3 linked regions of the Notamacropus eugenii genome follow. The protein of the gene in region 1 interacts with the protein of each later gene in a pairwise test. Links are inferred from orthologs where the notes say so. Each region holds a gene or a part of one and is shown in the gene's direction. Other genes may lie near its edges.

What was found.
Region 2: the proteins of TXN2 (region 1) and PPCDC interact in binary tests that used the Homo sapiens proteins (3 or more experiments, as listed by UniProt). The two-hybrid records come from large-scale screens. The link is inferred for Notamacropus eugenii from reciprocal best matches to the Homo sapiens genes TXN2 and PPCDC.
Region 3: the proteins of TXN2 (region 1) and SCYL3 interact in binary tests that used the Homo sapiens proteins (3 or more experiments, as listed by UniProt). The two-hybrid records come from large-scale screens. The link is inferred for Notamacropus eugenii from reciprocal best matches to the Homo sapiens genes TXN2 and SCYL3.

Annotation. Positions count from the first base shown.
Region 1 is NC_092874.1:293,519,918-293,523,663, reverse strand, and holds the start of TXN2 (thioredoxin, mitochondrial), read left to right. Parts: upstream 1-915; 5' UTR 916-1,201; intron 1,202-3,746.
Region 2 is NC_092872.1:240,978,349-240,982,094, reverse strand, and holds the start of PPCDC (phosphopantothenoylcysteine decarboxylase), read left to right. Parts: upstream 1-1,203; 5' UTR 1,204-2,019; coding exon 2,020-2,084; exon of another isoform or gene 2,085-2,497; intron 2,498-2,515; exon of another isoform or gene 2,516-2,778; intron 2,779-3,746. UniProt on the Homo sapiens protein: Catalyzes the decarboxylation of the cysteine moiety of 4-phosphopantothenoylcysteine to form 4'-phosphopantotheine and this reaction forms part of the biosynthesis of coenzyme A.
Region 3 is NC_092873.1:476,487,109-476,490,854, forward strand, and holds the start of SCYL3 (protein-associating with the carboxyl-terminal domain of ezrin), read left to right. Parts: upstream 1-1,308; 5' UTR 1,309-1,393; coding exon 1,394-1,633; intron 1,634-1,654; exon of another isoform or gene 1,655-1,723; intron 1,724-1,880; exon of another isoform or gene 1,881-2,008; intron 2,009-3,746. UniProt on the Homo sapiens protein: May play a role in regulating cell adhesion/migration complexes in migrating cells.

The DNA of each region.
Region 1 (3,746 bases):
GAGATCAAGAAAGACCTCCTGAAGAGGTAGGATTGGAGCTGAGTCTGGAAGGAGTCCAGAGATTCTAGGAGGCAGAGAATGTTCCAGGTAGGAACAACAGCCTGGGCAAAGGCTCCGAGAGGGGAGATGGGAGTGCCCTACGTGACAGTTGGCACTTGCTCACTCAGCTCCTGGAATTTTCTCTGGCGGTGCCCCATGGCTGGGCCTCTTCCCTCCTCCCTTCCAACTGCTGATCTCTCTGGCTTACCTTCAAGTCCCAGCTAAAGTCCCACCTGCTTAAACGGAGCCTTCCTCAGGCTCTTCGTCCAGGGCTTTCCTTCTATGCATCATCTCACATGGATCCTGTCTGTAGCGTGTTTATACTGATTTGTTCGCTAGTTTTCTCCCCCCCCCTCCCCAGTAGACTGGGAGCTCCTGCCGGGCGGGGGCTCTCTTTGGCCCCTTTTTTGTAGCCCCAGAGCTCAGCACAGTGCCTGGCTTAATCAATGGCTATTGATTAATTGGTTGACGTCAGCGGGGTGGCTCAAGACCAGAGGGCACTGACTGGGACGGGGGCAAGCTGGGGGGCTTTAATGGCCAACTCTAAGCCCCAGGTTTTCCTGGGGTGGGGGGTCTGGGGTAGATGCGCCCCCTGGGGCGCTGGAGACTCACCGTCCCATTTTGCAGATGGGGAAACTAAGGCTCAGGGAGGGAGAGGGTGCCGTCAAGGGCCAAGCCGGCCCCACCCCCTCCTGCGAGTTAGTTCTTCGTTCTAGAAGAGGACCGTGACATCAAGACCACCCCATCACGTGACAGATGGGAAGACTGGGACCACCCAGAATGACCCGGGGCACCAGGGAGGAGCCGGCGGCTGGTCACGCCCGCGGGGCGTTAACGTACCCTCGCTCGCTAGCTCCACCCACTTCCGTCTCTAACGGCTAGCGCCACTTCCTACGTGGTGCGCATGCGGCGCCTTGCCCCGCCCCCTCCTTTCGCGCCGTCCTCCTTTCCCCTCCCCTCTCTGGGGAAAGCGGGAGGCAGCTGCAGGAAGTGACGCAAGCCCGACCCCGGAACGGAAGTGACGTTCGCCGTGCCCTTGACGGGCGGGCAGGGCCAGGCCGGGCCGGGCCGCTGGGGGCGGAGGCGGAGGCAGACTGGAGGGTAGGGCGGCCCGGGGGCGTCCGCTCGCTCTAGCTCGTGGTCGCGCTCGCGCCGCAGGGAGGTAGGAGGCGCGCGTGGGGAAGCCCCGGGTTGGGCGGCGGGCGGCGGGCGGCGGCCAGCTTCCTCCCGGGTCCGCCCGCCCTGGCGGCCCCCTCCCCTCCCCGGGCCCCACGTTCCGCCCCGGAACTCTGGTTCCCCGGTCCTCAGGGTCACGCTGTCCCTGCTCACGCGCCTGCCGTGATTCCCCTACCCGCCCTCCGGACCCGGGTGCAAACTCCTGAGCTCGGCATTCAAGGCCGTGCCTGGTCCGGCCCCTGCTTGCACTCCCGGTAACCTGCAGGCTTCGCTTCCGTGCCTTCCACGTGCCGGGCCCTGAGCTGGACCCCGGGGGTGGCCAGTCAATCAGCCCTTAAACGTTTGTTGTTTAAAAAATAGCCCCCGGACTGCAGTGACCCTTACTCTCTTCCGTGCTCTATATTTGCGGCCAAATGCCCATCTCCTCCCTCCGTGCTTTTGCCTAAGCCGTCCCCCCAAACCTTCACGCTTTACTTCCTGATCTCTGCCCCTTAGAACCCTTCCTTAGGAGCCCCCTAACACAAGAAGCCTTTCCTAGCCTGGTTCCATCACCACACAGTGTTCACCTCCTCAAATTTCCTGCCTGTTGACCATGGTCCCCCCCAGTAGAATGAAAGCATCCTTATGGGTGATTTGCATGTAGTAAATGCCCTGTATCTGGCCAAGTCATGTCTCTTTGGGCCTCAGTTTCCACATCTGTAAAAAAGAGAGGGTGGAACCGTGTGACCTCAATCAAGTTTTCGCTCCTATAGTAATTGTAATAGTTTGCATTTATACGGCCCTTTAAGGTTGGCACACAACTTTCCATATTATCTCATTTGATCTGATCTTGCATAACAGGAGTTCTTAATTCTTTTTGTTCTGGACTCTTTGGCCTACAGACCTCTTCTCAGAATTGTGTTTTTAAATAAGGTACTTAGGATTACCAAGGAAACCAATTTTATTGCAATAGTTATAGAATTAAAATTTTTAAAAAGTTCACCAGCCCTTGGTTAGTTTCACCTGCCCTATAGGGGTGCCTTCATACAGTTAGAGGTCAAGGGACCTTAGAAACCTGATGGAATCTTCAGCTTCAGCTTTCCTAGCCCATCCCTCCATCCACTAAATGACTTGCCTCAGAAGGAAGAGCCAGGATTTACACATGGTTCTCAAGCTCTCCTTGTGTTGGAGATAGAAGATTTGTGTTCAAATCTCCTGTAACTTGTGTGACTGAGGGCCATATCTAGCTATTTTAGCCTCTGAAATGTCTCCCATCTGACCCCTTCTCACACCCCTTAATTCAAGCCTTCATCACCTCTGGCCTGCAGACTTCTAACTGGTCTGCCTGCCTCCGGTCTCACCTCTCCAGTTCATCCTACACACAGCTGCCAAAGTAACTTTTCTTAAGCGTCATTCTGACCATGATTCCCTCCTCAGCCCTCTGGGATCTTTATTGCCTCTAAGAGAGAATATAAACCCTTTAGCTTCTAAATCCCAGTGAAACTTGGTCCCAGCCTATCTTTCCTGTCTCATTTGTTATTGTGGGTAGTGCAGGATTGGAGTTGGGAAAACACTAATTAGCTGTGTGATACTGGCCATCACTTACCTCTGTTTGCCTCTGTTTACCTCAGTTTGCTTAACTGTAGAATGAGAGTGATAATTAGAGCACCTCCCTCCCAGGGTTATTGTGAGGATCAAATGAGGTAACACATTAGGTGTTTTATGTAAAGAACCTTAAAGTACTATAGACTTGCCAGCGCCCTTGGCTTGGCCTTCTCTCTGTCACATCTCCTTCCCTGCCTTTGCATGGGCCTGCCTAGAATGCATGCTTTCCTTTTCTCCCCACCTCAGCCTCCCTCTCCTTTGAGGACCAAGTTCAAGCAGCATCTTCTGCAGGAAGCCTTTCCTCCTCTCTCAGCTGCTGGTGCCCTCCTCCCCACCTTACTCTGTATTTAACTACTCTATATATTTGTTTCTATTAACTTTGTTTCTGTCCTGTGTGTGTTTTTCTGTTACTTGTGTTCCCCCTTAGAATGTAAATTCCTTGCACATCTTCCTGTTCTTCTCCCCTAGTGAGGTCTGACATGTAGTGAGTACTTAATAAATACTTGTGGATCTGGTGATTATCTGCCTCAGGTCATGTCTTTTCCCCATCTGGGCTTCAGTGCCCTTGGCCGTACAAAAGGAGGTTGGAATAGACGATCCCTGAAGGCCCTTTCCAGCTCCGGCATCTCAGGATCTCCTCATACTGTTCTAGAGCACTTTGTGTACATTTCTCCTCTGTCCAGATAGGATGTTTGCCTTCTCTGCCATTTATTGTTGACTCTTGCACCCTCCCAGCAGACTAAGCTCCTCCAAGGAAGCTGCTGGGTGTGTTGTCTCTTTGTATCTAGGCCCAGCAGAGCTGACACACAGGAGCCACTGGCAAATCTCTGGGCTTTTGGAGTTGAGCTCTCCCTCTCCTCCATCTCCTTTCCCAGAAATCCTTCTGGCCCCCGCATTCTACAGATAAGGAAAGTTTGCCCAAAGTCACCCTAAAGCTAGAACTTCAG
Region 2 (3,746 bases), on another chromosome or scaffold:
GTTCTAGTGGTAAAACCTGTTCAGTGCTAAACTCTGTGTATTGAATCCTAAATACTGGAGGAGCCCAGAGATAGGAGAGCTAAGTGAGAGACTTTTGCGAGTCAAGAACCATTGATTAAGCTCCTACTATGTGCCTGGCACAATGCTAAGCAGTGGAGATACAAAGAGAGGTAAAAACATTCCCTGCCCTCAAGGGGTTTACGGTCAAATGGGGGAAAACAACGTGTCAATAACTGGGCACATGCAAGATGTGTCCAGAGTAGATAGAAAGTAATCTACAAAAGGCAGAGCGGTCACTGATGAATTTGCGCATGTGACTTGTACTCTTATTAAATGGTCAAAGACCATCAGCAAACCACGTTGTAATCTGCAGTTCCCCAACCGTCAGATTGCAAGAACTTTATAAAGGTGTAAAGAGGAAACCGGCTTTGAAGTCCAGGTGGGCGTGGATTCCTCCCCAGGGACTCGGGAGTCCGAGCCTGCGCAGTACATTTTCCCAGGCTAGAGATTCTGAGGCTGACTACCGAGTAATAAACTACAACTCCCATGAGGCTGTGACATCTCTCGCGAGTTTAGTAGCCTGGGGTTACGGGCTTGGGAACTGAAGGATCGCGAGATTTGGAGGCCCGACGGGAGGCGTACCTGGCGCGGGGGTGAGGCCTAAAGCGAGTTGGTTCCTGATGGGGCAGGGGGACGTAGGTGGTCTGATTTGGGGGGCGGTTGTAGGATCTCAGCTGGGAGGGGCCTTTGGGATCACAGAGTCATTTAACAGGTGGGGAAAGTGAGATGCAGAGAAAAAGGGAGAGGGAGGGGGAGGGGGAGAGGGAAAATGAGTCACCCAGGGAGCGGAAGCCCTCGGTGGGGGGAGGGGTCTTCATTTCCACCTGGGGGAAGGAGAGGGTGAAAGTTCGCACCCAAGGGCGCTCCGTGACCTTGGGCAGCCCCGTCGGGCCTCAGTTTATATAGAATACAAATAATATAGGACTCTTATTTAATGTATAAACAGTAGTTATTATTAACTTATCCCACTGAAACCATGGGATCGTAGATACGGAGATGAATGTATCATCAATTATCAGTTTTAAATTATACATGTATGTGTGTGCATACACACACATTATATATATAAATAATAATATATTTGTATTATATAATATATAAATATGTGTATCTATATATCTATATCTATATATAAATCATTTCAAATCAAATGAGATATGTGCCAAGCACTTGGCAAACCTTAAAGGGGCAATATTATAGTGCTCGAAGGTTCATGTGCGTGGTGCTTGACATTCTCATTGGAGCTGTAAAAATGCTAGTTATTATTTATTATCTCCATTGAAATCATAAGATCCTAGCTCATTTGATCCTCACAACAACTCTTTCAAATATTCTGCACATTTTACAGAGGTGGAAACTGAGGCATACAGAAATTAAGTGACTTGCCCAAGATCACACTGCTAGTAAGGGTTTGAGGCTGGACTGCCTGGTAAATCGATCTATTTACCAAGTATTCCCCTTACTTCCTTGACAAGCTCCTACCTCCTTGGGAGTAAGTATACCCCAGGCTGGGAACTTCTGGTTTAGGGGATTGGGGAATATATGTGGGAAAATACTTTGGGAAAATTAAGTGTGTTCTCTGAATCTAAGACCTGGTGTAGCAGCAAGCACCCTGACATATACAGGAGGGCCTGCTGTACAGGTTCTTAGATCTGCTTTTCTAAAAGGAAAGCAACTTTTGAGGGGTCAGCAATCTACTTTAATTACATTCACCAACAGAAAAAATACAAGCAGAAAAATAAAGACCAACAGACATCACAGATCAACAGACAGATCCAACTGTCTGACCATACATACATATATGGTTACCAGAGAGAGAAGAGAGAAGCACCAACATATGGGTTTTCAAAGCCTGGAGGCTCCCTAGCTGCTACCCATAGTCATCAAGCACATGAACCTTCTTTCAAGCCCCTAAAGCAAAACCTCATCTTGGAGTATGTATACACTTTTCAGAGCCAGATGGCATCACAACCCTTGGGACCCAGTGCCTCACTGAACAAACAGCTTCCCTTAATTGGCTTCAGGTGAGGCTTTTTAATGGAGAGAAGATCTTTAACATTACACCTGGAAAAGTGGAAAGATCCCTGGGTTTGATATTAGGAAGCCTGGATTCATATCCAACCACATTTAGTAGCAGTGGGACCATGGACAAATAAATCTCTAACTTTTCTGTGTCTCAGTTTCCCCAATACCTGAGTATCTGTCTCAGATGTGAGATTCAAGTGAAATAATTCAACTTTTACTAAATTCGTACTGTGTGCCAAGCACTACTGAGGAGCTGGGAGATATGAAATCAAAACGGAAATGTCCTGTACTGTCAAACTGTTTACTTATACTTAGTCTATATAAATGTCAGTTATGAATCACTGGAAGTCAAATCACAGATATTGTGTATAAGAGCTCAGCTTCATACCCGGGACCTCTAATTCCAAGTCAGGTAAGTTCCCTTTCCACTAGACTAGGCTAGATAGCAAAAACTTGCTAACTGCCCTATTAGGCTGCTGGGGTAAGGCATTTATGTATCTTATGCAAATCCTGAAAATTAACGTTCATACTGTTATTGTCACTGAAACTTCAAGTCTTCAGTGGCATACCTGCCCCTCATAGACCTGATGTTAGAAAGTGACTTTAAAATTGATTTAAGTTCAACCTTCTCATTTTATATAGATGAAGAAAAGGAGAGGTTAAGGGACTTGCTTAAGCAGGGTCACCCAGGTGGTGAGTATCCGAAGCTTGTGATGTGGAGAGCAGAATCATTAAAAATATGTTCTTAAATTATGTACATTTATAAATGTAATATTTACATACTCATAATGTGTTACACTGTTCAGCAGGATAAGATTCAGACAGTCTCCAGTTGGGAGTCACCCTCACTCAGTGGCTTAAAGGGTTAGACTGACTTTTTAAGAAATACATCATTTGCTTGGCCTTAACTTTTATTGGCCAATGAGGTGGTCCAGGATTTCCTGCTGTGAGAGTAGGCCACCTCCATGCATATTTCTAGATGTATGTGGAGTAGCTTACATACCAGTGAGTCATAGAGTGACTCATTTAGGAAGTAGTTTTGATTCAAAAACATTTTTGTGTGTCCAATGGGCTTCTCTAAGACAGATTGTTGGCTTAAGGAAGGATACTGCACCTTTGGAATTTCTGGATCTCCTGATCATTTCCTTGCAGAAAGGAATATCTGAAGCCCAGGACACCTGTTGTCTCTGGTTGTCCACTGGGAGGCATCATCTATTTTCTTTTTTTGACCTTTTGTTGTTCATAGCAATCTCCAGAGGTCATTTAAGTCAAATCTATTACCTTCTCCTTATCAAAAACTACGCTTCTATGCCCCTTTCCAGCCAGGTACTCTCATGCTTACCCCCTTCTCTGAGGCCAGATGCTATCCCTGCCAGGAAGTATGAAGAGATATCATAACAGACACTGGCTTTTGGTACAGTAACAGTAACATCTAAACATTCATGTAACACTTTATATCTTACAAAGCAGGTAACTTATATACAATGTTATTTCATTTGATCCATATGTCTCTGGTAAGGTACACAGGGTAGGCCTCATTACTCCCATTTGATGGATCAGGAAACAGGTTCAGAGAGGGTGACTCATCTCGAAGGTCTTATCCAGATTTGATAGTCTCTGAGTCTGACTTAGTAAATGTTAGAGCCAGAACTCAAAACCAG
Region 3 (3,746 bases), on another chromosome or scaffold:
GGGGAGGAGGAAGGAGGGGGGAGGGAGGAGGGAGAAGGGAGGGGGGAGGACGGAGGAGGGAGGAGGGAGGAGGGAGAAGGGAGGGGGGGAGGAGGGAGGAGGGAGAAGGGAGGGGGGGAGGAGGGAGGGAGGAGGAGGGAGAAGGGAGGGGGGAGGAGGGAGGAGGGAGAAGGGAGGGGGGAGGAGGGAGGAGGGAGGAGGGAGAAGGGAGGGGGGAGGAGGGAGGGGAAAGGGAGGAGGGAGGAGGGAGAAGGGGGGAGGAGGGAGAAGGGGGGGAGGAGGGAGGAGGGAGAAGAGAGGGGGGGAGGAGGAAGGGGAGAGGGAGGAGGGAGAAGAGAGGCGGGGAGGAGGGAGGGGAGAGGGAGGAGGGGGGAGGGGGGCACCTCAGCGGACCGAGAAGGAGAAAACAAGCGGCCGGGCGTTTACGGAACCAAGGTTCGGCCTGAAGAAACCGAGCTCCATTTCTTACACTACCCAGAAAAGTCATTCAAAACCAAAGCCGTGTGAAACCGGAGCGGGCGGTGCCGGTCTGCTGGCTGGGCGACGGGTCGAGCGCCTCGGTGGCGGGACATTCACGTAGCGCGAAGACCAGATGGCACCGGACCCCGAGTCTGAAGCGACGGAGCCCGGGGGGGTGGGGGTGGAGGGCGCGTCCACCTGTGGCCCTAAGGCCAAGGCGTCCCCTGTCCCCGGGTCCCTGAGGGGCCTCTGCCCAACCAAGGGTCGCAAAGCTGGGGGAGCAGAGTCCGGTCGTGGTTCGATTTCAATTCAAATTCAACGACTTCTGTTGCATAAAGCCAGGCAGCTTCGTTCTCACGGCCCCCCCTCGGCCGTGGCCAGGGTTCCCCGAGCACCGGAAGCCGCGGGCCCGGCTGCGCAGGCTGGGGCGGACCCGGGAGCCGCCGGGGACCTGACGGTCACGGGTTCTGCCCTCGGCCCCAAGGGCGCTCCTCCGGGGACTTTCGGAAATGGCTTTTTTGTTCCGGACAGGTGAACGTGCGCTGGCCGGAGTCACGTCCGGGCCGCTCACCTTCGGGGGGCTCAGTCTCCGTCTCTGTAAAAGTCAATGGACCGAGCGCAGAAGCGCGCGCGGGCGGGGCCGGGACCGGGGAGCCCAGGCCCCCTTGGCGGGGATAAGGGCCCGCCTGGGCGGGGGAGTGGGCGTGCGAGAGGGGCCGGACCAGGCCGGACCAGTCCTCGGGCAAGGAAGGGCCCACGTTCGTCCGGCCGAGACCCCGCAGCGTGGGGCTTCCAGGCGACTCGGGACTTTAAAAATGGATTCACTGTATTTATTTGAATCTATCCAGTATCTAGAAAAGGCCTGGGAACCTAACTTACTACCGAGGGGCGGGGGAGCAGAGGCCTCGCCCTCAGGTCCGGGCTCACCTGTCGAATGCTCCGCCTGGCCAGGTCCGGCGGAACTCGCGCTGCTAGGAATCGCCTACGAAAGTCTGCCCGAACCCATCATGGCGGCCAAAGCATCAGTCCTTCGCCAGGGAAACTTGAGTCCCGGCAGAGGAACCAATCGGAGTGCAGGAGATGCGCGGCGCACCGCCCCCTTCCCGTACGACGTGAAACGGAGTGGCCGGGCAGCCATTTTGGATTCGGGCGGAAGTGGAACCCGAGCTCGGTGGTAAGGCTTAGAAGTACTAGAAGGAAAAGCTTCCCGAGATAGCTTTTGGGGCGGAGGCCTGACCAAGAGTGACTGTCTCCGCCGGCTACGGTGAGGGACAGCGCTCGGCGCCACGGTCCGAGGGCTGGCGCCGCTCTAGTGCGGTCCCGGGCGCAGCCGCCTCTCTGGTGGAGTCGGAGGGACGGAGGCTGGCGTTCTGTCCCGTTTCCGGGGGCGTCTCTATGGTGTCGGCTGGACCGAACCCCGGTCAGTGGGCGCAGGGGCCGCAGCCTGGCGGGGCCGGGAGAAGGTCAGGGGTCATAGGGGTCGCTGGTAGTGAAGCGGATCCCGCCCGGAGCCGACACCCTCCGCTTCTCGGCGCTGCCGCCCTCGCAGGTGAGAGGCCTGCCCTCCGCCGCCTCTGGGAGTGCAGGTCGGGGTCTGGGGGCCGCCCGGGCCGAGCCGGAGCGCGTGCCCCGGAGGCTCGGGGCGCGCGTGACGGGCCCGGGTCGGCTGTCGGGGTCCGGGCCAGGCGGGCGCCCGCAGGCTAGTGCTCCGCCGGGCGGGCGGGTCCGAAAGTTGGTGCGCGGTCATCGCGGGTCCGGGCCCCGCCGGGCGCCCCCTCGCCGGTCCGCAGTCTTTTCTGCCGGGCCGTCTGGGGGGAGGGGGAGTGTTCGTAAAAGGAGAAAGAGCGAGGGCATGGAGGTCCGCGTGCCCAGCCCGCCCGGCCTTTCCCGAAACCCGGGGGCAGGCGGTGCGGGGAGCGCGCCGTGGGAAAGTTGGGGCCGAAGTGGCCTTCGCCCCCTGGACAAGGACGTGGCAAAGGAGTCCCCCGGCCTGCGTAGGCAGCGCCGGCCTGTGCCCGGCGGGCCGCACCAGCCGCGGACCCCGAGTCCGTGCCCGGGGTGGGGCCGTAGGTGGAGCGGACACGTGGTTGACAGGACCGTGACGTCCGGTAAAAGCGTTCTCTTGTACTCCTGCCGCGCTCGGAGCCCTCCCACCTGTGACTTGGGCTCAAGCGTCTCCCTAAGAGTTCGTCTGCGCCCCTGCCTCTGCTTCAGCCCAGGCCGTCTGGTCAGGTCCGCCCGGCGCTGCCCAGAGAGCTGACCCTGCTGGGACCGCGGCCCGCACAGAGCAGCTGGAACTCGGGTTTCTGCTTCAGGACAAGATTCCAGAATTCGTGTAGCCCTTCAGGGTTGGCACGGTGCTGTGTCCTTACAGCAGTCCTGGGAAGGAGGGGTTAACGTTACCCTCGTCTTACGGATGAGGAAGCTGAGGCCCGTGAGGCCAGGCAGAATTTAAGTCCTGGTCTCCCGAGTCCCGGTGCGGCGCTCAGTAGGGTGCCGGAATCGTTGTCGAGTTTGTTTCCTTGGTTGTCACGGGCGTCCTCCCCGCTTGTCAGTTTCACGGCGGGTTGTTACTGAGGCCAAGCATGGAAACGTAAAATCTGATCTTTGGAGGGAGCTGGTCTGCCTGCCTGCCTTTGAGCTAGTAAACTTCGTTGTGTTTGCTTTCCTTTCTGGAACAGCGAGAGAACTCTGAAGTCTCAAGGGAATTTGCCTAGATCTAGTCAGTAACCTTGCCCTTTACCCTCTCATACCCTGAACCCGGATGGCGCAGTTTTCGTTAACATCATCCAGACATCTCTCTAGACGGATACTTGTAGTATGCAAAGGATTGCAATCATTGATTTTAGATATTTGTAGATAACGTAGCTGGTTTTTTTCCAACTATGGTAACAAATAGTTTTCTTTGAAAACAGTATTCACAACTAGCTATAGAAAAGATTCCTCTTAGCATCACCTGAGCTAGGATGTTTTCCTCAGACTACTGACATTAATGCTGGTGGACCTGGCAAAATGAGTGTGGCTCTTGCTATCAGGCAGTGAGCTCCAGGAAATGTTTGTTGATTGATTAGCATCTGGTCCTGTCACCTATCAGATTTTCCTTAGAGCATGTGTGAATCCATCATTTGGACATTCCCTTAATTGGTATAGAGGAAACTGTCTGCCCCTGTTCTCTAAGTTGTACGCACAGGGGGAGGTGCTTCCCTCTTTAATGGCCTTCTTTACTAAGCTTCTCGGTAATTCCTTATTTTTAACGTTTTGCAGCCTTCATATACCTCTCCTTTGAC